Linked DNA regions of Pelodiscus sinensis. The protein of the gene in region 4 purifies or fractionates together with the protein of the main gene of each other region. This does not show direct contact. Links are inferred from orthologs where the notes say so. Each region holds a gene or a part of one and is shown on either strand. Other genes may lie near its edges.

What was found.
Region 1: the proteins of ARMC8 (region 4) and RMND5A purify together in Homo sapiens (affinity purification with mass spectrometry; 5 studies listed by BioGRID and IntAct, counting the BioPlex papers as one, with this or other methods). This does not show direct contact. The link is inferred for Pelodiscus sinensis from reciprocal best matches to the Homo sapiens genes ARMC8 and RMND5A.
Region 2: the proteins of ARMC8 (region 4) and MKLN1 purify together in Homo sapiens (affinity purification with mass spectrometry; 4 studies listed by BioGRID and IntAct, with this or other methods). This does not show direct contact. The link is inferred for Pelodiscus sinensis from reciprocal best matches to the Homo sapiens genes ARMC8 and MKLN1.
Region 3: the proteins of ARMC8 (region 4) and MAEA purify together in Homo sapiens (affinity purification with mass spectrometry; 5 studies listed by BioGRID and IntAct, with this or other methods). This does not show direct contact. The link is inferred for Pelodiscus sinensis from reciprocal best matches to the Homo sapiens genes ARMC8 and MAEA.

What each region holds. Positions count from the first base shown.
Region 1 is NC_134715.1:122,882,993-122,889,942, forward strand, and holds the start of RMND5A (E3 ubiquitin-protein transferase RMND5A), read left to right. Parts: upstream 1-3,939; 5' UTR 3,940-4,363; coding exon 4,364-4,505; intron 4,506-6,950.
Region 2 is NC_134711.1:7,867,782-7,875,152, forward strand, and holds the start of MKLN1 (muskelin), read right to left. Parts: upstream 3,007-7,371; 5' UTR 2,984-3,006; coding exon 2,871-2,983; intron 1-2,870. UniProt on the Homo sapiens protein: Component of the CTLH E3 ubiquitin-protein ligase complex that selectively accepts ubiquitin from UBE2H and mediates ubiquitination and subsequent proteasomal degradation of the transcription factor HBP1.
Region 3 is NC_134715.1:120,927,947-120,935,883, forward strand, and holds the start of MAEA (E3 ubiquitin-protein transferase MAEA), read right to left. Parts: upstream 3,006-7,937; 5' UTR 2,959-3,005; coding exon 2,872-2,958; exon of another isoform or gene 2,784-2,871; coding exon of another isoform or gene 2,775-2,783; exon of another isoform or gene 2,709-2,774; coding exon of another isoform or gene 2,640-2,708; intron 1,749-2,639; exon of another isoform or gene 1,601-1,748; intron 1-1,600.
Region 4 is NC_134720.1:4,087,132-4,094,601, reverse strand, and holds the start of ARMC8 (armadillo repeat-containing protein 8), read left to right. Parts: upstream 1-4,466; 5' UTR 4,467-4,680; coding exon 4,681-4,725; intron 4,726-5,042; exon of another isoform or gene 5,043-5,098; intron 5,099-7,470. UniProt on the Homo sapiens protein: Component of the CTLH E3 ubiquitin-protein ligase complex that selectively accepts ubiquitin from UBE2H and mediates ubiquitination and subsequent proteasomal degradation of the transcription factor HBP1.

The DNA.
Region 1 (6,950 bases), on a different chromosome or scaffold from region 4:
TGAACATTCATCTACCTGAATTGAGGCCCAATCAGCCTAAACAGGAGAGGAATAAGTCAAAGAACTCTTAAAAATCCTCTATTGCCATGAACTATTCAGTATTCTCTTGTCACAGCACCAGTGCTGACTCATTCAATTTATCATCCAATACAGAAAATAAACATAGGCAAAAAATTCAAGCAAAGCAATCTGCAGTTACTGTCATTACAGCAGAAGCCCAAGAAGATTGACCACTTTGACAGTGCAGTGGAAAAAAACCAACTGAAAATAAAAAGGATGAATTAAATACAGTAAATAGAACCAGACATAATGGCCACATCTAGATTGCATCCCTTTTTCGTAAAAGGGGTGCAAATTAGACATATCGCAATTGCTAATGAAGCGGGGATTTAAATCTCCCCCGCTTCATTAGCATAAAAATGGCAGCCGCTTTTTTTCAGCACGGAGCTTTGCTGGAAAAAAGCGCCAGTCTAGATGCGGATCTTTCGGAAAATAAAGCCTTTTCTGAAAGATCCCTTATCCCTTATTTTAAGAGGGATAAGAGATCTTTCGGAAAAGGCTTTATTTTCCGAAAGATCCGCGTCTAGACTGGCACTTTTTTCAGGCAAAGCACCGTGCCTAAAAAAAGCGGCTGCCATTTTTATGCTAATGAAGCGGGGGAGATTTAAATCCCTGCTTCATTAGCAATTGCGATATGTCTAATTTGCATCCCTTTTATGAAAAAGGGATGCAATCTAGACGTAGCCAATAGGAATACTGCATTGCTGGAACTAAGAATTTTGCTCCAGGTTCCTTAGCAAATATTTTCATGCCTATGGCTAACTGAATGTGAAGTATTTAGTGAAGACAGAATAAATTAATACTAAAGCATAACTTGAGACTCCTGTGATAAAATTTAGCTACACTGCCACAGAGGATGGAGACTCATGAGCAATGCCTCAGTTTCCCCACCAGAAAAGTAGGATTATTAATATTCTCTGTGAACTCCAAGTAACTGATGTTAAAGGAATAGGATGAAGTTTTCAAGCAGGGTTTGAAAAGTTCACCAGCTATCAACTTGTCAAAACATTAAACTCACTAGACAAATCCAAAATAAAACAGGGGGGTAACACACTATTCAAACTAATAACCCAAGGAAAAGACAGCTACCATTCCTCCAACTTGCTGGAAAGGGAAAGGTGCTGGGATTCCTACCATGGTACTGTCCCTTCACCATAATCAAGAGCACCATCTTTCATGGAAGCCTCTAGAGGTCTAACAGTTTTGAAACCTCTCTATACACTGCCTCCATAAAAGAAGCATTTTCTACCAGCCCGTGACCTTGAAGTTGTTCTATTAATCTAGTCTCATCCTTCCTTCAGACTCTTGAATTTCCCTCTTTAGTAATTTCTTTTGCTATTGCTCAGTGTTTTTCCGAACAGCAGCAGGGTCAAAGCAACATAGTTCTTGTCAGTTCGACCCCTACATACAGGATTCTGAATAGCAACATAAAAGCTACTTAAGTTCTGGTCTCATTTAAACTGCTGTTGTTTGAAAAAGCTCTGAGCATGGGAACCAATTGCAGATTCACATAGCTAGCAGCAGTAAAGTGAAATGAATTACATAGCACCCTACCAAGGAATGTGACGAGATGGAAATAAGATTGTGGAAGCTTGAGTAGACAACATAGGTCAGGGGTCCCCAACGTGGTGCCCGTGGGCGCCATGGCGCCCGCCGGGGGATTTCTGTGCGCCCGCTGAAACATCTGGGCTGGCCCCACCCCCAGCGCGCGGCACATGCATGGTGCTGGCTCCAGGCGCGGGACGCATGGGCGGCCCCTCCCCATGGCGCGCGGCACATGCGCAGGGCCGGCCCGGGGCGCATGGGCAGCCCCAGCCCCGGCCCCAGGGCACATGTGCAGTGCCGGCCTGGGGCGCGTGGCTCGTGGGCAGTCCCGGGCGCGCGGCACATGCGCAGTGCCAACCCTGGGCACATGGCTCGTGGGTGGCCCCGCCCCCGGGTGCGCGGCGCAGGCGTGGCCCCACCCCCGTGTGCCCGGCACGTGAGTGGCTCTGTCCCCAGGCACCTGGCAGCCACGCAACGTTGGGGACCACTGATGTAGGTGGTGTTAGGGTTGGATAGGGAAGTGAAGTGGTGGGCGATGAAGATCCTTTAACACAGTGGTCACCAACCAGTAGATTTTGATAGTCTGGTAGAGCTTAGCACGTCTGACAGGTGATCCTGACTGGTTTGGCCAAGAGGTTATCAAGCACAGCACTTCAGCGCCTCCCACCCCCAATTGCTGCACATCTCCTCCCCTTTGCCTTGGAGTTGCCTCCCCCTCCAGGAGCCTCCTGCTTGTTGTGCAGAGGAGGTAAGAGAGAGGAGGGGTGCTAAGGTCAGAATGCTCCCCTGCCCTCCATTCTATCTCCACAGAATGGAAGGGGGGGGGCACACAACAGGGTTTGGGATAGAGAGAGTTTGCTGGCTGCTTTTGGGAGTGGTGCAGGGCCAAGACAGGAATGAGCCTGCCTTAGCCCCATGGTACCACCACCCAGGAGCCACCTGAGGTAAGCACTGTACACCTGAAGCCAGCTCCAAACCCTTGCCCCAGTCATGTACCCCCACCTACATCCCAAGCCCTTACCCTAGGCGTGAGCCCCCTAGACAGAAATTCCCTTATAGAGCCTATACCCTGAACCTCCCCTCCTGCAACCCAACACCCTACCACACATTGGCTACGTCTAGACTGGCATAATTTTCCGCAAATGCTTTTAACGGAAAAGCACTTTTTGTGGAAAAGCGTCCATGCTAATCTAGACGCACTTTTCTGCAAAAAAAAAGCCCCGATAGCCCCGATCGCAAAAATGGCTTTTTTTGCGCAAAACAAATCTGAGCTGTCTACACTGGCCCTTTTGCACAAAAGCTTTGCGCAAAAGGGACTTTTGCCTGAATGGGAGCAGCATAGTATTTCTGCAAGAAGCACTGATTTCAGACAGTAGGAAGTCAGTGTTCTTGCGGAAATTCAAGCAGCCAGTGTAGACAACCGGCAAGTTTTTCCGCAAAAGCAGCTGATTTTGCGGAAAAACTTGCCAGTCTAGACGCAGCCATTTAGTTCAGAGCCCTTCTCGCACTCTAAATCCCTTAGCCCAAGACCAGAGCCTGTGCCCCAACCCTCTGCCCTGCCTGGTGAAAAGGAGGGAGAATGGAGGAGGCAAGGAGGACTGAGTGAACTGAGGCAGAGCCTTGGCAAAGAGGCATAAAAGAAGTGGGGCAGGGTACTTGGGCTGGAGGTAGATTCTGGATTGCATTTAAATTTTAAAAAGCCATCTTGCACTTATAAAAGTTGGCGACCCCCCCCCCTGCTCTCACAGGTCTTGTCTCCCATTAGCGGATGCAATGCGGCACAATCCTGACTCCAGAAACAAAATACAGGACTATGTAGCACTTGAAAGACTAACAAGATGGTTTATTAGGTGATGAGCTTTCGTGGGCCAGACCCCACGAACGCTCACCACCTAATAAACCATCCTGTTAGTCCTGTATTTTGTTTCAGCTACACCAGACTAACACGGCTACATTTCTATCACCCGAGTCCAGAAGGCACAGCTGCTGGACTCCTTGACTGCCTCTGCCTGAGCCAATCCCCTAGAGATCAGGGGTTTTCCCCCATGGCAAGCTACAATGCCCAGGAGAGCCGCAAGCACCGTCACCCCGACCCCTTCTGCTTGCAGCTGGGACTGCACAGGTACCACCGGAGGCGCCCCTGGCACAGCGCGCCCCGCGCAGGATCGCTCCCTGGAAGGCTCCTCGAGGTCACTAGTGTCCAGCGCTACGCCGCGCCCCTAAGGGGCGCTGGAGTATTTATACGTGCACGTGACCACCACCACCTCCTCAGGCCCCGCCCCAGCCTCGCGCCCTGAGCTTCCCTAAGAGCGGCCGCAAAGCAGCCAGCGCGTCTGCCTAAGGAGCTACCCGGAACACAGCGCAGCCGAACCCTGCCCCCGCCCAAAGACCCAAGGTGGCTGTGGCACTGCCTGAAAAAAAAAAATTCCGCCCAGGACTCCGATCGCTGCGCCCGCACTAAGCCAAGCTCCGGCTATCAGTATGGGTCGTGGAGTAACAAACCACCATAGCACCCCAGCTGTTTGAAACAGAGCCCTTCTGTGGACCCCGACTGTCTACTGTGCCGCCTGAACAACAACTGCCTAAGGACCCCGGGTGCCCGCTCCGGTGCCCACACAGCCAGGGAGCCCGCTGCCGCTGAGGACCCCGGCTGCCTTGGCGCTGCCTGCCCAGCCGCTGGTAGAAGTTCGAAACAAAATCCGGCCCGGCGGCGGCAGGCAGGCCCGGCCGGAGGAGCGGCAGCCCCGCGGCGCTCGCCATGGATCAGTGCGTGACGGTGGAGCGGGAGCTGGAGAAGGTGCTGCAGAAGTTCGCGGGCTACGGGCAGCTCTGCGAGCGGAGCCTGGAGGAGCTGATCCAGTACGCGGGGGGGCTGCGCCGCGAGATCCTGCAGAGCGAGAGTACGTGCGGCGCGCCGGGCCCGCCAGGGAGCCCGATCCCGGGTCCCCTCGCCCCCCCCCCATGGGCCCCCCTCCATCCCGGGTCCCCTCGCCCCCCCCCCATGGGCCCCCCTCCATCCCGGGTCCCCTCGCCCCCCCCCCATGGGCCCCCCTCCATCCCGGGTCCCCTCGCCCCCCCCCGTGCTCCCCCCTCCATCCCGGGTCCCCTCGCCCCCCCCCGTGCTCCCCCCTCCATCCCGGGTCCCCTCGCCCCCCCCCGTGCTCCCCCCTCCATCCCGGGTCCCCTCGCCCCCCCCCATGCTTCCCCCTCCATCCCGGGTCCCCTCGCCCCCCCCCCATGCTCCCCCGTCCATCCCGGGTCCCCTCGCCCCCCCCATGCTTCCCTCTCCATCCCGGGTCCCCTCGCCCCCCCCCATGCTCCCCCGTCCATCCCGGGTCCCCTCGCCCCCCCCCATGCTCCCCCCTCCATCCCGGGTCCCCTCGCCCCCCACAGGTTCCCCGATCCCTGGTCCCCGCGCCGCTAGGTTCTTCCGGGGCCCCATGGTCTCCCCCCCATGCTCCTCCCCCATCTTGGGGCCCCATGGTCCTCCCCATGTCCCCATCTCCATGCCAGGGCCCCTCGCCCCCCATGCTCTCCTCTCCATCCCGGGTCCTCTCGCCCCCCATGTTACCCCCGGTCCCGTCGCCCCCCACAGGTTCCCGATCCCTGGTCCCCGCGCCCCTAGATTCTTCCGAGGCCCCATGGTCCCCCCCCATGCTCCTCCTCCATCCCGGGGCCCCTTGGTCCCCCCCATTCTCCTCCTCCGTCCCGGGGCCCCTCTCCCCCCCATGTTACCCCCGGTCCCGGATCCCTCTGCCCTCCAGGTACTCACAGCCCCGGGGCCTCTCCCCACAGGTTCCCCGATCCCTGGTCCCCGTGCCCCCAGGTTCTTCTGGGGCCCCTCGGTCCCCCCATGCTCCCCTCCATCCCGGGGCCCTTCGCCCTCCCCCCAGGTTCCTCCGATTTCCTGTCCCCTTGCTCTGCCCCCCCATGTTCCTCCTCCATCCCGGATCCCCCCCCCCACCATGCACTCTCAATCCCGGGTCCCCTCAGCATCCCCATCCTGGGTCCCCTCCCCCCATCCTGGTTCTCAGTTCTCAGCCCTCTTTCCCTTCCGTCCGAGCTTCTGCCCCCAGTTTTCATTTGCACCCCCTCTCCTAAATCCTGTCTGCATGACTTCCATTTGTCCTCACTGATCCCAGTTTCTCAGGCACCTGCCCGAACGAGCCCCCCTAACCCCATCTCAGCTCTTTGGGCCCCTTCCCTTTGCTCCCAGCTGTATCTGCAATAAGCCTTGGAGCTCCATGTTGTCTGTCCCCTCAGGAGGCTCACATCCCCTCTTTCCACAGAGACTCAGAGTCCCTGGGTCCCCTCCCCCCAGATGCTCCAATCTGGCTTCTTAGGCCCCCCTTTTCCCAGTCTCAGCAGCCTCTTTCACCATCATTCCTACCACCATCACCCCTTCCCTGTTTGGAACAACTCCTCTGAGCTGCCATGTCTTCCTTCTCCTTCCTGGTCCCATCACCCTGCTGCTGTTCTCTGTGATTTTTAAACACTCAAGGAAAATAAAATAGTGATTTCATAAACAGAGTGTAAAAGGGGGAAAATTCCTAACCAGTCATAACATAGAAAAGTTAAAGTAAACCGTCTTTGGACAAACTTCCTTTTTTTCATTGTCTTCCTTTCTTGCCTATACAATTTTTTGTAAAGGGGAGCAAGCCTCTGTTTACAGTTTCTTAGGTGGCATTAGGTGGTATTAAATGCTCTTGTAACTTGAGTCATAACACTGTAGTGAAGAAGTTACAAGCGTGTTTAAATTTAGACCATGGCAACACCTTACAGTTAACAGCATGCTAACCAGAGTATTTGAGCACCGTTGTTACTGTTAGTAGTGTGGGGTCCTAACAGGGCTTTCCTGACTTGCGGAGACAAGGTGGATGAGGTAATATCTTTTATTAGACCAATTTCTGCATACTGCTTGGACCGGGCAATTTTTCTGTTTCCAAGATCAGTTAAAATAATCACTGTGCTCCTTCGGGGAAACTGCGCACATCTCTGCTATGCTCTGAACGTAAACCATTTTGTTGCGACCATGGTTCTAATGATAGCATGCCATAGACAGATTCTTATTTGGGTGATGGAGGAGGCTAGCACTTCTGGTTGTGGGTGTTGAATTGGGACGAAGATTGGTCCATTTCGAACATGCCTGTTTATTCGTTAATGAATACAAGTGTTTACTCTTGGTCAGTGGGTTCTGCTGTGCCATCTTTATATTGGTCAATATGTTTATATCTTTATTCCTTTGCATTGAGTAATAATGGAATTAGTCACTGCTATTGAAAGCAGTCTTAACAGCCCGACAAGATGACGTAAACAACAGGTTTGTTGGATTTTCTGGGTCACTG
Region 2 (7,371 bases), on a different chromosome or scaffold from region 4:
AACTGTAAGGACCTACCACCAATACAGAGTAATTGAGATCGCAAGTAGTCTGGGCACACTAAAACATGAATTAATCAGTTAAATGTAAGGTCACACATCGTATTTACAGGTGAGGAAACTGCATCCTGAAGAGCAGAGACTCTGTAAAAGACTTAGATCAGCTTTGTAAATAGCATCTAAACATGAACAGCTGGTGAGATGCTGTTTCAAAGAGGGTTAACAGGATGCTGGGCATTATAAACTGAACTACTGATCAGGGAGTTCATACCTTTGAAAACTGCACAATGGAGACCAATACCGGAATACTACAACTGGACATAGTACCTATCATGATGCTTCTCAATTTTTTAAAAAAGCAGAACACCTGCAAGAATGGTTCAAGATTTGGAAAGCAAGCCTTACAAAGAGTTTAGTCTATATGGCTTATCAAAGGGAAGATGAGGAGATGACTTGGTCACTCACAGCCTACGAGTATACTATATATACACAGAGAAGAGATCTGTGACACTAAAGGAATCCAGAACAGCAAAGGCAGAACCAGATGCAATAGCTGGAAACAGAAGTGATATACAGGCAGTCCCCGGGTTACGTACAAGATAGGGACTGTAGGTTTGTTCTTAAGTTGAATCTGTATGTAAGTCGGAACTGGCGTCCAGATTCAGCCGCTGCTGAAACTGATCAGTTTCAACAGCGGCTGAATCTGGACGCCAGTTCTGACTTACATACAGATTCAACTTAAGAACCCCAGGCATCCCCAAGTCAGCTACTGCTGAAACTGATCAGCGGCTGATTCCAGGAAGCCCGGGGCAGTCAGCTACTGGTCAGCGACTTGGGGACACCTGGGGCAGAGCAGCTGGGGTGTTGCCGGGTTGGTCCAGTAGCGCCCAGAGCGGCGCTACGGGACCAACCGGCAGCGCCCCAGCTGCTGTACCACAGGCGTCCGGAGCAAAGCCACGGAGCACGGGGGCAGTGGGACAGCCCAGACGCGCCGTGGCTGTCCTGCTGCCCTCCGGCTCCGCGGCTCTGCTCTGCTCCCCGTCTCCCTGGTCTGTAGACCAGGGGGACGGGGAGCAAAGCCGTGGAACATGCATGCAGCGGACAGCCAAGACGCGTCTGGGCTGTCCGCTGCCCGCATGCTCCGCCGCTTTGCTTCCTCTCCCTGGTCTGCTGGAGGCCAGGGAGACGGGCCCCGTTCGTAACTGCGGATTCGACGTAAGTCGGAACTGCGTAACTCGGGGACTGCCTGTATTGAAAGAGAGAGAACTGGAAGTAAAACACTTCATAAAAAAAATGAGTAAAAGCAATTGCCGGTGAAAATAGAAAGGATGACAACTCCATCACTAGAAGCCTGAGTCAAGACTTGATTCTCTCTAAAGTGCATTTGTGTGTAAGCAGTGACCAACCACCTGCCTGACTCAGGCCACTAACTTTTAACTGAGTTAGACTATCATGCAGGTGGTTAGCCACTGCTTACACAAACACTTTATAATGGTCACTCCGGCCTTTAAAAAAAAAAAAAAACCTGAACACTACAATAATTCAAAACTAAACTGCTCCAAGGTGTCAGAGGGGCCGGGCCGCCCATTAGTCTGCAACTTCAAAAACAACCAGTAGTCCTGTGGCACCTTAGAGACTAACCAAAACGAGTCTATTTAGTATCATGAGTGGTCATGGCCCAAACCCACTAGGAGGTTATCTGAGGAAGCGGGTATGGCGCACAAAATCTCATGATACTATAGTGATAGAACCTGCATCCTGCTTCAAAGACCTTTTAACACCAGACTTGACAGAGAATCCTCTGAACTATCATTCATGCTTAAATTCGACACTTTACGCCTCGGTCTAAACAAAGACATTAATTATCTTACCCATCACAAAGATAGCTTCCGCAATTATCACCTCTAATATCACTAGCTCACTAACATTTACCTCCCCCCTCATCCCCCTTCGGTTCTGAAATTTGATTTGTCCTTTTCATAGGTGTTCATTTTTTGGATTAAAATACAGGACTATGGAGCACTTTAAAGACTAACAAGATGGTTTATTAGATGATGAGCTTTCGTGGGCCAGACCCACATCCTCAGATCAAATAGTGGAGGAAAATAGGCCCACGAAAGCTCATCATCTAATAAACCATCTTGTTAGTCTTGAAAGTGCTCCATAGTTCTCTATTTTGCTTCAGCTACCCCAGACTAACACGGCGACATTTCTATCACCATTTTTTGGACTGTGGCTTTTGGTGCATATGGTTGTGCCAAATTTCTTCCCCATATTGATGTGAGGAAGTGGGTCTGGCCCACGAAAGCTCATCACCTAATAAAGCATCTTGTTAGTCTTTAAAGTGCTACATAGTCCTGCATTTTGTTCCAGGATAGGATCGGCATCTTTCTGGCACCAGGAGGCCACAGGAAGAATAAACCCAGGCCAGACTACGGAGTATGCGGCTCACAAAGTTTAGGCTTTTTTTTTAAAAAACTGTCACCCCCCCCCCCGGGGAACTGGCCAGATTTGCTCGCCACTGGGGCGCGGGTGAGGCGCAGACCGACCCCTACAGCCCAGTGACACCGCGTCCGCCGCCGCCCTGAGCCCGGGCGGGAAGAGCGGGCGGCCGGGCCCGGCGCGCTGCAAGGGCAGGACACGGGCCGGGCGCGCGAGGACGCGGTCCCGTCCCGAGGGGGGGGGGGGCGGGTTTGCCCCCAGCTCCGGCGCGAGGGCAGCGCCCCCCCCCCCAGGCCCGCGGCGAGGGGCGGGGCTGAGGGGGGCGCTGCGCGCGGCGCGGTCACGGGACCCTCCCGGCGGTTGGGCCCCCGCGGCCTGGAGCGCTGAGGCGGGGGGCGGACGCCGCGCTCGGCCCCGGCGCGGTCACTCACTCGGGCAGGTAGGTGGAGGAGAAGCTGCTCCAGCGGTGCAGGGTGTAGCCCAGCACCCGGCTCTCGGGCCCGGCCGGACCCGCGGGCCCCGCCGCCGCCGCCGCCGCCGCCATCTTGTCAGCAGCGGGGAAGGGGGAGGGGCGGCCGCTCTTAAAGGGGCCGCCGCCCTCCCGAGCCTGAGGGGAGCGGGCTGGCGGGTCCGTCCCTGCCCGGCAGACGTGACAGACAGACAGACCGACCGACCTACCGTCCGATCGCAGGCACAGTCGGGCTCATCGCAGCAAGGGGGCAGACTCTGCAGTCAGAGACCCCCTGCAGCAAGGGGGCAGACTCTGCAGACAGACAGACCCCCTGCAGCAAGGGGGCAGACTCTGCAGACAGAGACCCCCTGCAGCAAGGGGGCAGACTCTGCAGACAGACAGACCCCCTGCAGAAAGGGGGCAGACTCTGCAGACAGACAGACCCCCTGCAGCAAGGGGGCAGACTCTGCAGACAGAGACCCCCTGCAGCAAGGGGGCAGACTCTGCAGACAGACAGACCCCCTGCAGAAAGGGGGCAGACTCTGCAGACAGACAGACAGACCCCCTGCAGCAAGGGGGCAGACTCTGCAGACAGACAGACAGACCCCCTCCAGAAAGGGGGCAGACTCTGCAGACAGACGGACCCCCTGCAGCAAGGGGGCAGACTCTGCAGACAGACAGACAGACCCCCTGCAGAAAGGGGGCAGACTCTGCAGACAGAGACCCCCTGCAGCAAGGGGGCAGACTCTGCAGACAGACGGACCCCCTGCAGAAAGGGGGCAGACTCTGCAGACAGACGGACCCCTTGCAGAAAGGGGGCAGACTCTGCAGACAGACGGACCCCCTGCAGAAAGGGGGCAGACTCTGCAGACAGAGACCCCCTGCAGAAAGGGGGCAGACTCTGCAGACAGACAGACAGACCCCCTGCAGAAAGGGGGCAGACTCTGCAGACAGACGGACCCCCTGCAGAAAGGGGGCAGACTCTGCAGACAGACGGACAGACCCCCTGCAGAAAGGGGGCAGACTCTGCAGTCAGACAGACCCCCTGCAGAAAGGGGGCAGATGTTGCAGACAGACAGACCCCCTGCAGAAAGGGGGCAGACGTTGCAGACAGACAGACCCCCTGCAGAAAGGGGGCAGACTCTGCAGACAGATTGTAAAAAGGGGGCAGACGTTGCAGACAGACGGACCCCCTGCAGAAAGGGGGCAGACTCTGCAGACAGACAGACCCCCTGCAGAAAGGGGGCAGACTCTGCAGACAGACAGACCCCCTGCAGAAAGGGGGCAGACGTTGCAGACAGACGGACCCCCTGCAGAAAGGGGGCAGACGTTGCAGACAGACAGACCCCCTGCAGAAAGGGGGCAGACGTTGCAGACAGACAGACCCCCTGCAGAAAGGGGGCAGACTCTGCAGACAGATTGTAAAAAGGGGGCAAACGTTGCAGACAGATGGACCCCCTGCAGAAAGGGGGCAGACTCTGCAGACAGATTGTAAAAAGGGGGCAGACGTTGCAGACAGACAGACCCCTGCAGAAAGGGGGCAGACGTTGCAGGCAGATTGTAAAAAGGGGAAAGATGTTGCAGACAGACAGACCCGTTGCAGAAAGGGGGCAGACGCCTTGTAGACACAGACAGAGGGGCAGACGGTGCAGACAGACCTGTCGCGCAAATTGCAGAGGGACAGGCGGACCTGGACTACAGACATGTGCAAGCAGCCACGGTCACTTTGCAAACAAGCTACAAAAAGGCAGGCAAACGTTGCAGACAATTATGGTGAGGCAGGCAGCTCACTGAGTCTGGTCTTATCGACTGTCCCACGGGGCTGTCTCTCTCTACCAGTTTATATTGTGCTCTGGCATTTAGGCACTTCCAGGATGAGGACCGAATTGAACTCTTGTCCCCCTACACAGGGACAGACAGAAGAAGGGAAGACTCACAAACACATGCTAAGATCCAAGCCCAAATGGTTCCTGGCAGGCCAAGCGCTGCTCCCTCCCCCGGTTACAGTGTGGTGGTGTGTCTGCTACCAGTCCCAGCAATAGAGCGAGGACCTGCCTGGCACTGGACAGCAAAGAAACGGATACAAATAAACTTCACAAACAAGGCTTTGTCCCTAATGGTCATTTGTCATCACACATTGCTGGTCCATGGCTGATGTGTGCCATCTCATTTATTTCTCCTGGTGTCACAAACATTAGAGATAGAAAGGCTTGTTAGACAACCAAGTCCATCTTCCCTTGGCCAATGTAGGATGGCATTTGTCTAGTCTAAAATCTTTAGGGCAGGGTCCATTTTGTTCAGCTCCTTGATAGATTATTACACAACCTAATGCATCTCAAATTCAGAGTGATAGCTTAATTTTTCCCTTTCTTAAGGTAATTTCATTCCTTTACCTGCTGGTACTAAACTAAACAATCCCTCTTCTTCCCTAGTCATCACTTAGCCAAGTAGGACACATTCTGTTGTTTTTCTTTGTTGAGAAGTCACTCCTTCCAGTGCCAAGAATTTTTTTATTTAGCTTCCCTGAATCCCCTCCAGTTATTCAATATTAAGAGCATTTCTAATTTGCTTTACCATAGTGCCTAGAATCCCTGCTCATGGACTAAGACCGCAGGCACTGTACAAACAAGAAGGACAGTCCCTACCCTAAGCAACTTACAGGTTGGTCCACAGCACTTCAGAGAAGACCTTTTTACCTCCCTGCTCTTGACTGTGTTATTCTTTCATACAGTTCACCTTAGCATTGGCCTTTTCCTTATGACCAAATCACCAGGGCAAATTCACAACTAACTTGCTATGTAACAGCAATACTGTTTTGCAGATTTCTCCCTTCCATTGAAAATCTGTATTTCAAATCCAAAACTTGAAGCTAGGCAAACTGAGGCTGGAAATAAAGCATTTTGAACAGTGAAAATAATTAACCGTCATGGGAAAAAATGACCAAGAGCTGTGATAGATGTTCCATCACCGACATTTTTTTTAAATTCAGATTGGATGTTTTTCTAAAAGATCTGCCCTAGGAATGATTTTGGAAAAGGTCAATGGATGGTGATAGACAGGAGGGTACACTAGATGATCACAGTAGTTCCTTCTGGCCTTGGAATCTATTAAAGGCTGAATTTCACTGCATTGTTTGCTGAACTTCTGTACTTTTCTTTGATCAGCCCGTGTGTTAATTCTGGGCTTTCCACACTTCCTCACAGTTTGAGTCATCTGTAAATCTCATAAGTGTGCAGGGTTAAGCTTGCAGAAGGTTTTCCAAGGTTAGAGAGACATGCTGGTACTACCTACCTAGGTGTTTCTATGACCCACATCACTGTTTGACCCCCCCTCACAATCATTAATAGGTTTTATCCTCATAACACCCCTTGAGTGTTGTGTTTACCCAGGATTCTTGAGTCCCAGTCCAACACCTTCCTTGCTACACTGACTCTATCATCCATTAAGGTTGCCAGCCCTCCAGAATTGCCCTGGTGTCTTCAGAAATTAAAAATTAATCTTTAATTAAAGACTATGTCATGCAATGAAATCTCCAGGAATATGAACAGCCGAAACTGGCAACCCTATCATGCATGTATTGTAATATAGAGACTATATAGAGACAGAGGCTAGGTCTACATTGCAATGTTAAATTGGAAAAAAAACATATCTTTCTCCGATTTACTTTAGAAAGAGGCTATTCCAAAATGTGGCACGTCTATATGGCACCAAATTTTGGAAAAAAGTGCTCTTTCGACATATCCCTTATTCCTCGCAGAATAAGGTTTACAGGGATGGCGAAAGAGCGCATCCGTTTTTTCGAAAACATTTTCGAAAAAGCAGACACATTCCTTGGACACAGCATAGCTTTTCCGGGATACCAGAGATATCCTGGAAAAGCAATGCAGCCTAGACGTAGCCAGACAGAGTGAGAATTCATTCTTTCTTCCTCTTCCAGCCAAAAGAGCTGCAGCCCCGAGTAAATTCATTGGACATGATAATGGTGATGTGCAGAAGATACTACCCACTGACTGGTAGATCCTGTGGCTCTATCAGCTGATGTTATGAGCTTTGTTTCTGTGATGCCCCTAGTAAAAGGTTATGTTTGATATAGGGGTTGGAATGGTGAATTTACAGGCACCATTGAACTTGCCCAAGTAAATAATACAATGCAACAGCTCCTCCCATACATCTAGTATCAGTGCAGAAGGTGGTAGAACTTCAGCTAGGAAGAGGGCTACTAATGAATTTTTGTTATTTGGGTGTGAAGCATTGTGTCCCCTCTGTCACCCACAGCATCACAAGCTAAGGAAAGAGCTTTTTTACTGTTATTGCTCCTTTATTATTGATGGCTCAAGGGTTTTTTTTTAAAGGGGGATTTTAGTTGGCTAGCTGCAGTGACTGACAGAGCAAAGCAACCCAAAAGGTTATGAGCTGATAAAACTTACGATCAGTTTGGGTGCGTCTACACTGCACCGTAACTCAAAATAAGCTACGCGATT
Region 3 (7,937 bases), on a different chromosome or scaffold from region 4:
AGCAATGACAGTGCAGGAATTTAACTACTAAAACACATATCAACAGAAGACCATTATATTGACTACTTTTTTGTTTTGGCTCCCACCCGCGGGCCCCACATAAATACCACACCGCGGACCGCACACAAATGGGCTGTGCACCATATTCCGCTCGCGGACCGCATGTTGAGTAGCCATGTTCTGTACATTTAAATTACTCCTGCAGATTCAAATGAGTAAGTCACTTTACTTTCTCTTGAAAAATAATACCATGCAGAATTGCTGAAGCAGAATGGTGATGCACCAAAAATTACCACAATTCAGCAATAAGAGGGATTTTCCTTAGAAAGAGTCTTAAGCATTCCTTCTTCTTACGAAAGGCACTCTTATGGAACATGTTGTAATGTAGAGCGCTTACACAGTTACTATTATCTAGTGACTTGGGCACGAGCAAGTTCAAGGAAGGATATCAATGTAATTATGACCTCCTTTATAGTTTACTTGCATCAATTAGAGAACATTGTCAATATCCACCTATCTGTAGCAAAATATTACAGTTGCTGCCACAATGAAGTAAATTAATATTCAAGTGTTTTAAAGGCTGTTTTAAGATCTAAAGAACCAACTAGAGATGAAAATTCACTCTGTCTTTTTCACCTCTACCAAAAAATTATTTCCCTAGCATGGAGGATGGTTTGATATCTCCACAGTCAAGAACATTTAAAGGGATAAATGCAAGTGGTAACTGAATAGTGACTGTTTTGTGATTTTTTTGTAATAACTAATATTAACCAGAAAGGAAACTTCTGGAGCACTCAGGAGCTTGGGGAGAGACAAAAAGAAGTGTACATATATCTAAACATCACCTTATGACATTTAACATGGTTAATACAAGCCTGTTTTCTCACAATGTCTCATGGTCATACAAGGAATATTTCAGTCTCATTAAAATGCTGCAAAAATCCCTCATCAAGTGTAAATAGTATACTTGAAAAATATCTTAGAACTAGTCCAAAATGACTGCTATCTTCAAATGAGTGACACCTAGTAGATAGACTTAAGTGGTATAAAAAGAGACAAAGCAAACCATTGCTTTTATATACATATTGAAGAATATGAGATTTATTTAGACAATGTTTGTCAATAAATACACGTTTCTTTGTCTATGAATTTCTTAACATTGTAGCTGAATGTGGAAAGTACCTTTCTAAGGGAATTTTAAATTTAACTCAGATATTGTCAAGCCTAAAGTACTTCAGGATGACCGGGAAAACATCTTCAGATATAACATGAGAGTCAAGACAATCCCAAGAGTAAAGGGAAATAAGGGAGCAGGCTAGAATGAGGAAAGCAAGAGCAACAAACAGATGAGAAGAACACAGGAAGAAACCTATAAAAACAAACAAAAGCACATAACACTCTACATGAAAGTGAAATATGATTGAAGCACAAAAGTTTATAAAAGCTCATGATTCTATATATTTGTTAGTCTGAAACGTGCCATAGGATTACTCATTGTTTTAAAAGTATAGAATTTTGATATATACTATATGAAAAAAAAACTAGTTAAATCAGATACAAGGGATACAAAGGGACTATTAAACAGTCCAGCTCATCTCACCTCACTCCCACTTAGCCAGTGCAGAGTTAGTTCCCTACAGTAAAATCAATTGGAGCTGAATTGGTTGATCTAGCATATATATAAAAGGAGTATTCTAGATTATCAATGTTCCACCACTTCCTCTGGGAGACTATTCCCCAGTTCAACAGCTCTTATTGTCAGCAATATTTACCCTTAATATTCAATCTAGATTTTTCTTTGCTCATTTTATGATGTTCGACTATGTCACAATGAACCAACCTATGCAATTCACCTCACACCTGGTGAGTTAACACCCTTCCCATAATACTCAGTTACTACATCAGCCACCCCAACTCTTTTGTAGTATCCAGCCAACCTATATTTAACCCTTTCCTCCTCATAAGAGCTCCAATCCCTTTAATCATTTTAACCCCCCAACACTTTCTAGTTCATCTCTATCTTTGGAGAAAACAAGATGTCAAGGAATCATATTAACCCCCCATTCATCTTTTAACAATGATACGTAGCTTTAACTGTCAAACATTCATTCTAAATAATCAATACTCTCACCACACTTAAATCATTTAATTGCTCTGCACCCTCCAGTCTGTCCCCGTCACACCACTCCCCACACAGCACCCTTCAGTCACATTTTACCCCTGGCATATTCAGCTCTTTCGTTCTCCCTGGAGTCAGCCCTCCCACCCCATCAATCGCTGTCATTCCTGTCTTTGCTCAAGGGGACTCCACCCCACCTACATCTTCAAGCTCTGGAAATGCCCAGGAGAGAGGGGGCTCATATTCCAGGCACGTTCCTCAACATGGAAAGAAAGAAAATTACCCTTCCCGGTACAGCTCAAGGCAAATGGGAAGAGGCACAAAGGGGTCCGGTGAATTGGGGTCTCCCCACATTACACGCCTTGGGACCGGGGGGGGGGGTTATAATGAAGGGGGTGGGGACCTCAATTTGCCAAGCCCCCATCCCCTTTTAGCCCTGCCCTGCGGGGGCATTAATATCCTCGCTCAATCAGTACCTGGCCCTCGCCTCCCACAGGTCCCCAGGATGCCTGGCACCCACCTTGAGAGTGGGATATTCCTGCACCTTCAAAGTCATTGAGAGCTGAGCAGCTGATTCCTGCACCGCCATCTTGGATTGGGCACCAACCTCCTCCTCCCCCCTCCTCCCAGCGCAGAGCCCAAAAGAGCTACCTACAGCGCGCATTGCATGGTGGGCAATGAAGGACTTCCTCCTCCTTCCTTTCCCCCACCCCCGTCGTCCCTGCTGGAGACGGGCTGAACCAACAGATTACCTCTCCCCCTCTCACAACCGGGTGGTACAAGCCACGGAACAGTGGCGCTGGAAGAGAGGGGAGAGAGTATTCATCCAATCGTTGCATTCCTTTCGCATCTCTCCCTTCATAGGGTTTGCCCCGCCCTCTAACTTGTGAATGCGTGTTTGATTGGAGGATACGTGAGCCTGGGCGACTAGCCACAGCGACAAATCAAGAAGAGCAACGAATTCTCGTAGGCGGGGATTATATCTACGATTGACACTTGTATTTTCCAATCGGGCTATGCAGATTTTCATTCGGCCCAATCAGCATTTCCTTTCTATTTAGGTGGCACGTAAAAGTTCGTTTTTCTGGCGAAGTAAAGAGGCGGTTTTAACGACCCCAAAAGGTGTCCGGGAGGGCGGGGAAACAGCGCTGTGCAGGTTTATTGGCAGGCAAAGGAGCCAATGCGCGCGGCAGACACGGAGACGAACAAAGCGAGGAGCGAATGGGAGGCGAGCGGCGCTGTGGAGGGCGGGCTGTGTTGACACGGTTGGTTTGTGGCACGAGTTAGTGTGTGGGTAGCCGGGGGGGGGTGCCTAGTAAGTTCCGTAGGGAGAAGCGCGAGTGAGGCGGAAGCGGCGGGAAGAGCTTTAAATAGCGGAGATAGAGGGAGTCCTCGGCTAGGGCACCGCTGCGCTCGGCGGGGTAGCCACGGCCGTTGGCTGGTGTTTGCCCAGCGGGCTGGGCCGGAGGTAGCTGCCGCGCTTGGTGCCTGAGCACAGGGCGGGAAGAGAAGCTCCCTCAGGAGGCCTGATTCGCCCCCATCTTGACCAGCGGAGACAACATCAGGGGGGCGTCGCTCGCGCTTCTCCGGGCTCCAGACGTGGGCGGGCGCTAGCCAGCTCCCTTCAGCGGGAGCCTTCCGTCGGTGGCCTCGCTGCGGCTTGTGCGCCGCCCGCGGAGAGTCTCGGCAGGGAGAGGCGCACCCGTCCGAGCTGCGCCTGCAGCACTCACCCCGCGGGGAGAGGAAGCACCTGCCGCCCTCCCACTGCCCCAGCTGTGATTGGAAATGTGGCTTCTGCCAGCTTAGCCAGTAAATAGTTCTCTGTCCCCGCCCCCACTGGGCACCTGCTTGTTCAGAGGGTTGCCAGGTTTGGTTAGACTTCCTTGAAGATTAATGTCAGAGTGGTAGCCTTATTAGTCTGTAACTTTAAAAACGAGTCGTCCTGTGGCACCTTCTATGTTCTAATTGTGAGATGTTGTAGGCATAACCCACTTTCTGAGATGAGCTCGAGGGGAGAAAAAGGGGACCCTCAAAATATATAACAGGAAAAAGGTGGGAGAGTGGAAAGAAAAAAGGTTAAATATTACTCTTTTATTCCTGTGGATTCCAGAACTATCCTGAAGAAATGGCAACCCTAGTCTGTTACCATGTAAGAGAGGGTGGAACTTGTACTCTTTCTCATGGCTCCTAGAAGTTAATTTCCAGCAGGAGTAGACAGACGTATGGGAGTTTCTACAGAATCAGAACCTGATCCAGTTGTTCTTTGGTGATGCTGTGTGTATTAACAGAAACGTTCTTTATGGTCTGCAGAATGAAACATTTTGAGACTATTTTCTTTAAGATCCTACATAACATTCACCACTGGTTTCTGAGCGCTTTAGTATACTAGGGTGGGTGATGCTTCTTGGGAAAAATTTACCTCTGAGGAGTTGCCCTGCAGAATGAAAAAAAAATCAACCCCTGATTCAAAAATTGGATATGAAGGAAAAGTTCTTATTAGATGGTGTGGTGGGGTTTTTTTTAACTCCAGTGAAGTCTATGTCAAAACTCTTCTTGGCTTTAGTGGTGCAAGAGGAGGTGGTCTATGATCATGTATGTTTTAAGAAATTAACATGGTGGTCATAAGAACATAAGAATGGCTGTACTGGGTCAGACCAAAGGTCTATCTAGCCCAGTATCCTGTCTACTGACAGTGGCCAGCACCAGGTGCCCTAGAGAGGGTGGACCGAAGACAATGATCAAGCGATTTGTCTCCTGCCATCCCTCTCCAGCCTCTGACAAACAGAGGCCAAGGACACCATTTTATCCCCTGGCTAATAGCCTTTTATGGACCTAACCACCATGAAATTATCTAGCTTCTCTTTAAACTCTATTATAGTCCCAGCCTTCACAGCCTCCTCTGGCAAGGAGTTCCACAGGTTGACTACACGCTGTGTGAAGAAGGACTTTCTTTTATTAGTTTTAAACCTGCTCCCCATTAATTTCATTTGGTGTCCTCTAGTTCTTCTATTTAGGGAACTAATAAATAACTTTTCTTTATCGGCCCTCTGCACGCCACTCATGATTTTATATACCTCTATCATATCCCCCCTCAGTCTCCTCTTTTCTAAACTGAAAAGTCCCAGTCGCTTTAACCTCTCCTCATATGGGACCCGTTCCAAACCCCTAATCATTTTAGTTGCCCTTTTCTGAACCCTTTCCAAGACCAAAATATCTTTTTTGAGGTGAGGAGACCACATCTGTACACAGTATTCAAGATGTGGGTGTACCATAGTTTTATACAGGGGCAGTAAGATATTCTGGGTCTTATTTTCTATCCCTTTTTTAATAATTCCTAACATCCTATTTGCCTTTTTGACTGCCGCTGCACACTGCGTAGAAGTTTTCAGAGAACTGTCCACGATAACTCCAAGATCTCTTTCCTGATTTGTGGTAGCCAAATTAGCCCCCATCATACTGTACGTATAGTTGGGGTTATTTTTCCCGATGTGCATTACTTTACACTTATCCACATTACATTTAATTTGCCATTTTGTTGCCCAATCACTCAGTTTGGTGAGATCTTTTTGGAGTCCCTCACAGTCTGCTTCTGTCTTGACTATCCTAAACAGTTTGGTACCATCCGCAAACTTTACTACCTCGCTGTTTACCCTTTCTCCAGATCATTTATGAATAATTTGAAAAGGTTGGGCCCAGGACTGACCCTTGGGGTACACCACTAGTTACCCCTCTCCAATCTGAAAATTTACCATTTATTCCTACCCTTTGTTTCCTGTCTTTTTAACCAGTTCTCAATCCAAGAAAGGACCTTCCCTCTTATCCCATGGCCATGTAATTTACACAAGAGCCTTTGGTTAGGGACCTTGTCAAAGGCTTTCTGAAAATCTAAGTATAGTATATCTACTGGATCCCTTTTGTCCGCATGTTTGTTAACCCCTTCAAAGAACTCTAATAGATTAGTAAGACAGGATTTCCCTTTACAGAAACCATGCTGACTTTTGTCCAACAAATTATGTTCTTCTATATGCTTCACAATTTTATTCTTTACTATTGTTTCGACTAATTTGCCCGGTACTGAAGTTAGACTTACCGGTCTGTAATTGCCAGGATCGCCTCTAGAGCCCTTTTTAAATATTGGTCCAAGATTTAATAGTGCATGTATATGAAGCATCCATGACTTTGCTGCCCTTCCTGGTTAAGGTTTGGCTGCATTATTTCTGTTAACCTTTAGAGAATTGGATTTAATGAAAAACACATTTTACAAGAAAAAGAGGGTAGTTTGCATAATTTTAAAACTTTCCAAATATTCTTCAGTAAAGACTATAAAATACATTACATTTTAAAATGTTACCTAATAAATAACAAATGTTTTAAACAGGACTTTGTACCTCTTTTAGACACCGCAGCTGATGATGAAACATCCATTACAGGTTGTAATTAAATTTACCATAGAGTCTAGGATTGGCCACAACCAATCAACAGGATTTTAAGTTATTTATTCTCTCTCCACTAAGTGCAAAGTCCTGTTGAAAATCACATTAGTTAAAATGTGTTAGCTAGTTAAACTTCTAATTTACAGTGCTTGTCTGTGCTCTCATTGAGATGTCATAAGGCATCATAAGTTCTAACAACAACTGTCTGACAAATATTCCTAAAATACATAATTAATATTAGGAAAACCAAATGTGTACACACACAAGCCCAAATCATTGTGATTTATTTATGTAGGGTTTATTTTTATATTCAATATTGAAAATAATGTATAGTTGCACTTTGGTGCCTCTAGTCCATGCTACCTCCCATCACCTCTCACCCTGCTTCTTCCCCCAGCCCCCTGTTTTTGAGGTTCCACTTATCCTACCCCTGCTACCCTGAGATTCTTTCCACAGACTCTCACCCGACTTTTTGCCTTGACCTGGTATTCTGACCCTACTGAAAACAGCTACCCTGGTTTGGAGCCTGCCCCTAGAGCTCCGCAACTGAATCAGTGGAAGGACAAAGGGGTTGGGGAAGTGGAAGACTACCTGTGGAGCCAGTGGGCACTGCTAAGAGAGGCTGCTTCTTTGCCTTAGTCTCCTGGACAGAGATAGGGGATTTAGTGGCCACCACATTTGAGAATCGCTGCCCTAAGGGCAACTGAGTCTGCATGAATGGACATTGATTGACTTTATTGAGGCTCCAGGCGGGTATAAGGCTTTCAGTGGGTCAAGCTGAAAGATCGGAGCCTCAGGTAGATAATTTGTGCACACATGCACATTTACGTAGCACTGTTGTGTTCCTATCTTCACATAGCTATGAAATGAATACACATTTTGTAAAGATTCTTTAAGCAAACTTTTATGCTAGACTACGTGAATCCTGTAACTAACTAACTAACACTAATGGAAAGGAAAAATTAGCAAAGGGTGGATATTTTGTTGTAAATTATTAGGCCATGTATGAAATAAAGTTATTTAATATTTGATATATATTTTGTATGTAGTTTATTTTCATGTGTATATATTTAATTATGTCCACTAATCTTTATTGCACCATACTTTTGGTATGTTATTTTATGCTTAATGGTGATCTTCTACAGTATGCAAAATGACAGTACTTCTCAAACATAAAGTAATCCTATGAATGTGTGCAAAGTGAGCCAACCTTTGTACTGTAGAACTATTGGTGGATGTTTGTCAGAAATTAGCAATCAAAGTTTGAGGTTTGCTCAGTGGAAACAGATGGCTGAGCTACCATCATGTCACAGAAAACAGCATGCATTCTTAGTTTAACACAAGAGGGAGCATGTCTAATCTTTAACCTTTAAATATTGCAACTT
Region 4 (7,470 bases):
GAGGGAGTTGCCTTATGCATAGCATTATGCCTTTTGCTGGCCCTATGAAAATGTGTTGCCTGCACTTACTGAAACTTCTTTGACAGCTTCCAGTCTGCACTGAGCTTGCTCCATCCCAGAGTAGCAGGTGCTGAGCAGGATGCTCTCACCACAGGGATGGCTATGCTGTTAGAGCATGTCTATACAGCAGGGCTAAAGCCGAAATAAGCTATGCAACTTGAGCTATGTCAATTGTGTAGCTTAAGTCAAAATAGCTTATTTCCGCACAGCAGGAAGTCTGAGAGAGAGCACTCTTCTTCCAACTTCCCTTACTCCTCATAAAATGAGGGTTACAGAAGCCGGAGTAAGAATTCCTCCAGCTCAATCATTTTGACATTATTGAAATAACTGCTTATAGTGTAGACGTGTACTGTTATTTTGGAATAACGTCAGGTATTCCGAAATGAAGCTACTGTGTAGACATAGCTTTAGATATTAGAACTGAGAGAAGGGGGAACATCTCTCCTGAGGCAGGAGACTAGCAGTAGGAAACACAGATTCATGGGCATCTTGTAACAGACCCTTAATTTCTATATATACTTGCGTCAAAACCTGAAATGGACTGGAAGATGCCTGCTTCTGCATAATGGATTTGGTTTGCTTTTTAAAAGAAAAAACCTACACACACAAACTACACTGAATGAATGTTAAGGTTGAATGTCAAGGATTCAAAAGTTGGATCTGAAAGCTAAACTGGGTCCTTGCCCCTTTCAGGGCATAGAATGGATGATGCTTTCTGTTATACTAATTTCACCCTTATTCAGTGAATAGCCGTATGCCTTATTTACTGCATACCATTCAACCTTTCTCTCAGTACCGTATTTCTTATGGACAGGGCTTGACAAATCACTAAATCTACTTGCCCGTGGTGAGTAGATTTCAACCAGTCGCCCTGTTCACCGGCAGCGTGCGCATGCACAATGCGGGTCTTGCGCATGCGGAGTGCGGGGCTGGCGAGCAGATTTCACTGCTGTTTATCAAGCCCTGCTTATGGACATTCATCCCTGACTCATTGATGGTGTTGTAGTCTCTGCAAAGCAGTACAGTGACAAGGAGGGAGTCAGTTTCAGGTACTATAGTGATCATATAGCAGAGGCAGGCAAAATACAACTCATGGGGTAGATTCAGCTCAACAAGCTGCCAGATCCAGCCCATTGCCCAATGGGAGGCTTGTGCAATCTTCCTGCCTACCCTGCCTCTGCATGTTGCGTAAATTGTCTGACTGCAAGGACCATGAGCTGCTTTGAGCAGTTGGGGACAGGCGTTGTGCACTGCCTTTCCCCCCAGCACAATCTCGCAGTTCCCATTGGCTGGAAACTAATGGGAAGCTGTTTGGGCTGTGTTTGAAGTGCAGACAGTGTGCAAAACACCTGCTGGGACTTGTGGTACTCAGGGACCATGTATTTCTCTGTAGCCAGCAGCTCCAAAAAGCATGCGGGGGCATGAAAGGCAGGGACTTCCCAAGGGACCTGCTGAGCGGGAACCGTCTAGGTAAGTGCCTCCTGGCCAGAGCCTGCATCTGGGACCCCAGCTCTTCCCTCCCACCAACTCTTTGCCCCAAGTCACAACCCTCTGCACATGTGTCCTCTCCCAGGCCCAGCACCCCAAACATCTGCCCCAGCTTACAACCCCCTCCTCTACCCAAAATCCTGCCTGCACCCCAACTGTCTCAAGCTTCCTTCTGCACCCAACCTCCATCCCATACCTCACATCTCCATTAATATCATGGAAGAGTGTGGCCTTTGTCCACTTACCAAATTCTTGAAGTGGCCCACCATCAAAAATTGTCCAACCTTCTCTTACAGGATCAAGTTCAATAGCAATTTTGTGTTTGACTCCAGTGCGACCTTACTGGTGCACACTTGTGCCTGTAGTTAATGCACCTTCACCCTGAAACAGTCAGGCTAAGCAAAATCTCCAGATCCCATGAAGAGGTACAAGCCTCGAGCACTAGGGACATCCACTGTACTGTTGAGTCCTACTGACCTTGAACACATTAAGCATCTGAAAAGAAAATGAAGTCCTGGAATTGTCTATGGAAAATGGCCAACACAAAAGGGGGAGCTGACAGAGTATAATGTGTTCCCTTATTGTTGTATGGACTGTAGTGTTTGCTGGGGTCCTTAGCTTATCTCCAGTGTAGGGAGTGCGTAAACCAACAAACAGCTTCCTTTTTAAGGCCTTGGTCATATACTAATACTGCCCCAGTACCTAAGTAGTAGGGCTACATCTAGCCTGTAGAGTTTTTGCACAAAAACTCACAGAACGTCCACGCTTCTAGTGCATTTTTGTGCAAGAAAATTTACAGTAAATCAGAAGAGGGGTTTTTGTGCAAGTTATTTCTCTTTGTATGAGGAATAAGCCTTTTTGTGTAATAGCTCTTGCGTAAAAAGGTGGGTGTGGATGGGAAATGGGGTTTTTGGTGCAAAAACAGCCTATCAAAAGAAGCACAGGTGCCCTGGTGGCCATTCTGTTAATGGCAATCACAGCTTTCTTGTGAGAGCATCCATGCAGCCTGGACGCCCTCTTGTGCAAAAGCGCATTGCTTTTCCGATGCACTTTTGCAGTGTGGACATGCTCTTGTGCAAGAAGTTTTTTTTTTGCAGAAGACCTCTTCTGCAAAAAGCTTCTTGGGCAAGAAGCCTGCAATCTAGACATAGCCTAGCATTGTGGCATCCAACCAGTTCTAAAGCAGTAGCCACTGTAGTAGCTACTGCTCTAGTGAACTAGCCTTGGCTCTACCAGCCAACTAGCCATATCTGGCTAGTGTATTCGACATCCCTGCACTAATGTGTCTGGTGTTTTGAATTGCAGGTAAGCGGGAGAGTAGACGAGTCACAAGTATCATTAACTCTGAAAGCAAAATCATGGGATTGGTTTTACTTTTCCCCCCGGCTATGCAATGGCTTTGCTCTATTTGCAAACCCATCAATGAACTTCCTGTAACAGGAGCAGAGCTCTTCCAAACTGCACAGCTGCAAGCGTCTGGGGAGTCAGAGTAATATTCTTACCTGTAGTGGAAACATCTGTTTTCCTCAAGACAGGCTTCCACTTTTTGTATCTGCGTGTATTTCTTTGGTTTCAATTTCAGAGTGGCACATAAACTTAAACTCTGCTAGGAAGGCTGTAGGGGTTTCATGCCAGTCCCAAGGCTGGATAAAGGAGGAGGGTTGGTCAGATGAGTGTCGATATGCTGATTGTAAATCAACAATATGAATAAAATCAGGATATTGGCATTTGAGAGGAGTTGTTATAGAAAGATCCTGAGAATAGGATGGCTGCAGAAGGTCAATGATGAATTTATATAGGAAGATACAGCTGAAAGAGTACCTACTGCAGGTTATACAATGGAAATTACAGCTATTCGGGCATATCTGCAGAATGAACAATAAGAGAAAAGTGAAGACCCTGGTATTTGGCATAATGGATGGTCTGAATAGGAGAGGCAGACCCTATAGAGAATAGGTAGATTATATACAGCTGCTCTCTGAGTTGCGAAAGGTCGAGTTACAACCGTTCGTACTTACGACCAAAGCTCCCACGGAGCGGTCTTAAGGCGGTCCCTGAGTTACAAACGCGACCTGCGCTTACGCAGAGCGCGGTCGCATGTAACTCAATGGGGTCCGAGTTACAAACAGCTCGAGTTATGGCCAAGTGTTTGGTCCATAACTTGTTTGTAACTCGGAGAGAAGCTGTAGTAGATTGGTGTGGAGCTAGTCTACAGAAACTAAGCCACTGTACACTGGACAGGGAAAGATGGAAGGAAATAGAGAGGCATCGGACACCAATGGTCACTGAGCCCATGGTGGTTGATGATATGTCAAACTTATCACAGACCATTTGTAAGTGCATCAGTTCCTGCTCAACACTAAGATATCTTGTGTGGATTACAGAGCACTTGAAAGAACCATTCCGTTGAATGCTCTTTACATGAGACCCTCAAAAGTAATAAAGGGAAGTACATAAGGCAAAAGCCATTAATTTGCCAGAGCCATTGTCCTGTAGTAAAACTGTCCTTTCCCCCTGGTGTTTGAATCCATTTTTACCAAGAGCCCCTGTAGAAAGCCAGAATGAACGTTTTCCATCATCGATATTTTCTAGGGTTAATAGATCAAACTCTCTATTTTGCTAACTGTGCAGCTCCCCTTTCCCCTCCATTCCCACGTCATCTTTCTGTGCTGCCTCCCCCCCCCCCCGTGCTCATTCAGCTCCCTCCCCTCCTAGCTCCACTCCCCTCCCTGCGCCCCCATAACCAGCCCAGTGCTCCCGCCCCCGCTGCTCATTCCCCGCCCAATGGCTCATTCCCCGCCTTCCAGCCACAGCTGCCCGCCGCGCTCCAGCGTTGGCACATGCGCACTGCAATTCCCACTCCGAGTCAGAAGGAACAATTCCGCCCCCCCCCTCCCGTGCTCCTGAGGGCGCCAAAGGCCTCCATGGGCGCATGCGCAACGGTTGGAGCGAGTTTGGAGTTGGTACTCGCCGATTCGTTAGAGCAGCTCCGGCGGCCCGGCCGGGCGCTGGCGCCGCCCCCTCCCCCCACCCACAGAGATGGGCCAGGCTCGGTGGCGGCGGTAGCGCTGGCTGCCTCGCGCGGGGTTGAAGGTGCCGCCGGTGCCGCGCGCGCGCGCGCGCGCCCCCAAGATGGCGTGTGTGTTGGAGACGCCGCTCCGCATGAGCGTCCTCTCGGTGAGTGCCCGCCCCGGCCCGGCCCCCGCGGGGCCCGCTCGGCGGCCGGTCCCGCGCCGCGGCGCCCGGGCGGTGTCAGGCGGCGGGGCGAACCCGACGGAGCCCCTGTGGCGAGGCGGCCGGCCGGGGGCCCTGGCTCCCCGTAGCGAGGCTCTGTCCCCGCCGGCGGCGTCAGGCGAGGGCGCTGCCCTGCTGGGCCCGCGCCCGCCGCCGTGGCCTGCGACTGTCAGCGCGGAGACAAGCGGCGCGACCCCCACCCCCCGGGCGTCCTGAGGGGGGCTCGGAGAAACCACAGGCCCACGCTGGGCGGAGAGAGCCGCCACCTCTTCGCCTTCTCGGCCCTCCCAGCCGCGGCGGCGGGCTCCGGGCGAGAGTAGGCACCCCCTTGGGGAGCTGGGCGGGTCCGCCAGGGATGCACTCCGGGGGGAAATGGGAAGGATGATCGTGTGGGTGGGGAAGCACAGACGATACGAGAAATGCAGAAGAGGTGAGAGAGGAAAGGGGGAAGAGATGCAAGGAGATGCATTGGAAAATGGCATGAAAGGGGGGAGAATGTGTCTGGGGGGAGAAATAAAGAAATGAGAACTTCCTGGATAAAGACAGAAAACTTACAGTTTTAATGATCTTCTGCGTGTGCATCTCTATTTTATTATGTCGCTAATAGATGTCCCATAGCTAGATGTGGGGAAAGATGTAAGAGCCAGAAGAGCATTTCAGTATACTAACACTTTGTGTTGGATATCCTCGTTTAGAAAAACTCAGGTCTTTTCGAATTATTCTGAATTCTCTGGTTATTTTTTATATAATATATTCAGTTCTTAAGGTTGTTTTTTTTTCTGATGGAGACATGGCAGCGATACTTATTTGCAGACATGGTAGGGATACTTATTTTCAGGAAGTACTCATTTTACCTTCCTCTACCTGTATTGGGTTGAGTCTACACAGTTTTATTGTAAACCTTGTACCAATCTCTAGGGATGCAGGGCTCCTTGTTTATGAAGACTGCTGTCTGTCCAGGGCTTTTGAAGCTCCCTTGCCCTCTCATCACTGGCAAGAGGGAATTTTGTATTGGTTGCTGAAGACTGTTCTTTGTATCTCTTCTGAGTGCTCTTCTGATGACCATGCTGCTGCTGCTATCTTGCACTCTAGTGAAAAGACAAGTAGTCCTGTAGCACTTTATTTATTTATTTATTTATATATATAGAGAGAGAGTTAGTCTTTATATATGTAAAAACTTCAACAACAATAGACTAGTAGCACCTTAAAGACTAACAAAAAATGTAGATGGTATCATGGGTTTTCATGAGCACACCTCACTTTTTCAGATGACTCCTGTCACCTGGTATCCAGTTGTTGTTTTTCCTGTTACAGACTAATAACTTGGCCACCCCTCTGAAGTTTTTCTATATATGTGGTATCATGAGCTTTTGTGGGCAAAACCCACTTCCTCAGATGAGTGGAGAGAAAAGGGGGGGAAACCTCACAATTTATAACCGAAAAAGAAAGAGGGGAAGAAAAAAATACCTGTCAATTGTAGTGCTGGTGCGAATGAGGCTAATTGAGTGGTCTGGAAGTATCCTCTACTTAGCTTTTGATGTCAGTGGGATGTGAAGAGGATCATCCACTGCGACTATGTTGACATGTTGTGTTAGAATAGACAACATTTTGTCCTCTTTCAACAGCACTGGAGTTTTAGAATGAAGGAGGGGGCGGGAAGAGTCCTAGGATGAAAGCATTTCTTCTTCCTGTTGCTCTGAAGGGAGGAGATAAGACAAAATACCCATGGTAGTTGCACTCTACTGCCACCCACCAATGTGCTGGGAAAAGTGGGAGATTGTGACTAGGAAAAAAAGGTGTTGCATTTCTTACATCTTTTATAATTGGCAGTGTTATTGGTTAAATGGCAAAATAAAAGAATACGTTACCCAGCACTTCTGGGTAACAGTGTATATTACTGAATGCAAATCTCCCATATTTTAAAATGAAATGTGAACTAAAATCGTGCTTGCCAGTCTGAAATGGGTACCTTAAACCTGAAGTATCTATTTCTGTCTTAATTTTGATTATTTAGTTTTTTTAAGCAGCGTGAAGTAAGGATGTTAAGGACTAGTCAACTAGCTCGTTCCCCCTCCCCTTGCTGCCTCTATCAGAGGCGGGAAAGACGGGGTACTTCAAAGCGGCAGTGCAGCATGGAACTGCCTTTTGAAACGCTGCCTCAGCATTTCAAAGCAGCACCACATGGAGCTGACCCCAGGCTCCATGCAGTGCTACCCCTTTGAAACTCCACCACAATGTTTGCGTGGAGCCTAGGGTCAGCTGGGGACTGCCTAGCTGATCCTGGGTTCCAGCGCAGTGTGCAGAGCCCAGGGTCAGCTGGGGAGCCCCCAGCTGATCCCGGGTTCCGGAGAAATGCTGTGCAGAGTCCAGGGTCAGCTGGAGGGTCCCCAGCTGACCTGGGCTCCATGAAGCATTTCAAAGCTGGTGCCTGCGTACAGCCCAGAGTCAGCGGTACCTCCTGCTGGCCCCGGGCTGCATACAGAGTTCCTCATTCCTCCTTTGAAATGTACAAGAGCCCCACCAACATCTCTTGTACATTTCAGAGAAGGAATGTGGAAGTGCCTATCGACTAGTCGATGGAAATTCCATCGTCTGCTTGACAAGTAAATAACTCGATATTTAACATCCTTAGCATGAAGGCATGTGCTTGTTTCAGTAAAATAGTGCAAAGGTTATATGCCAGCTACT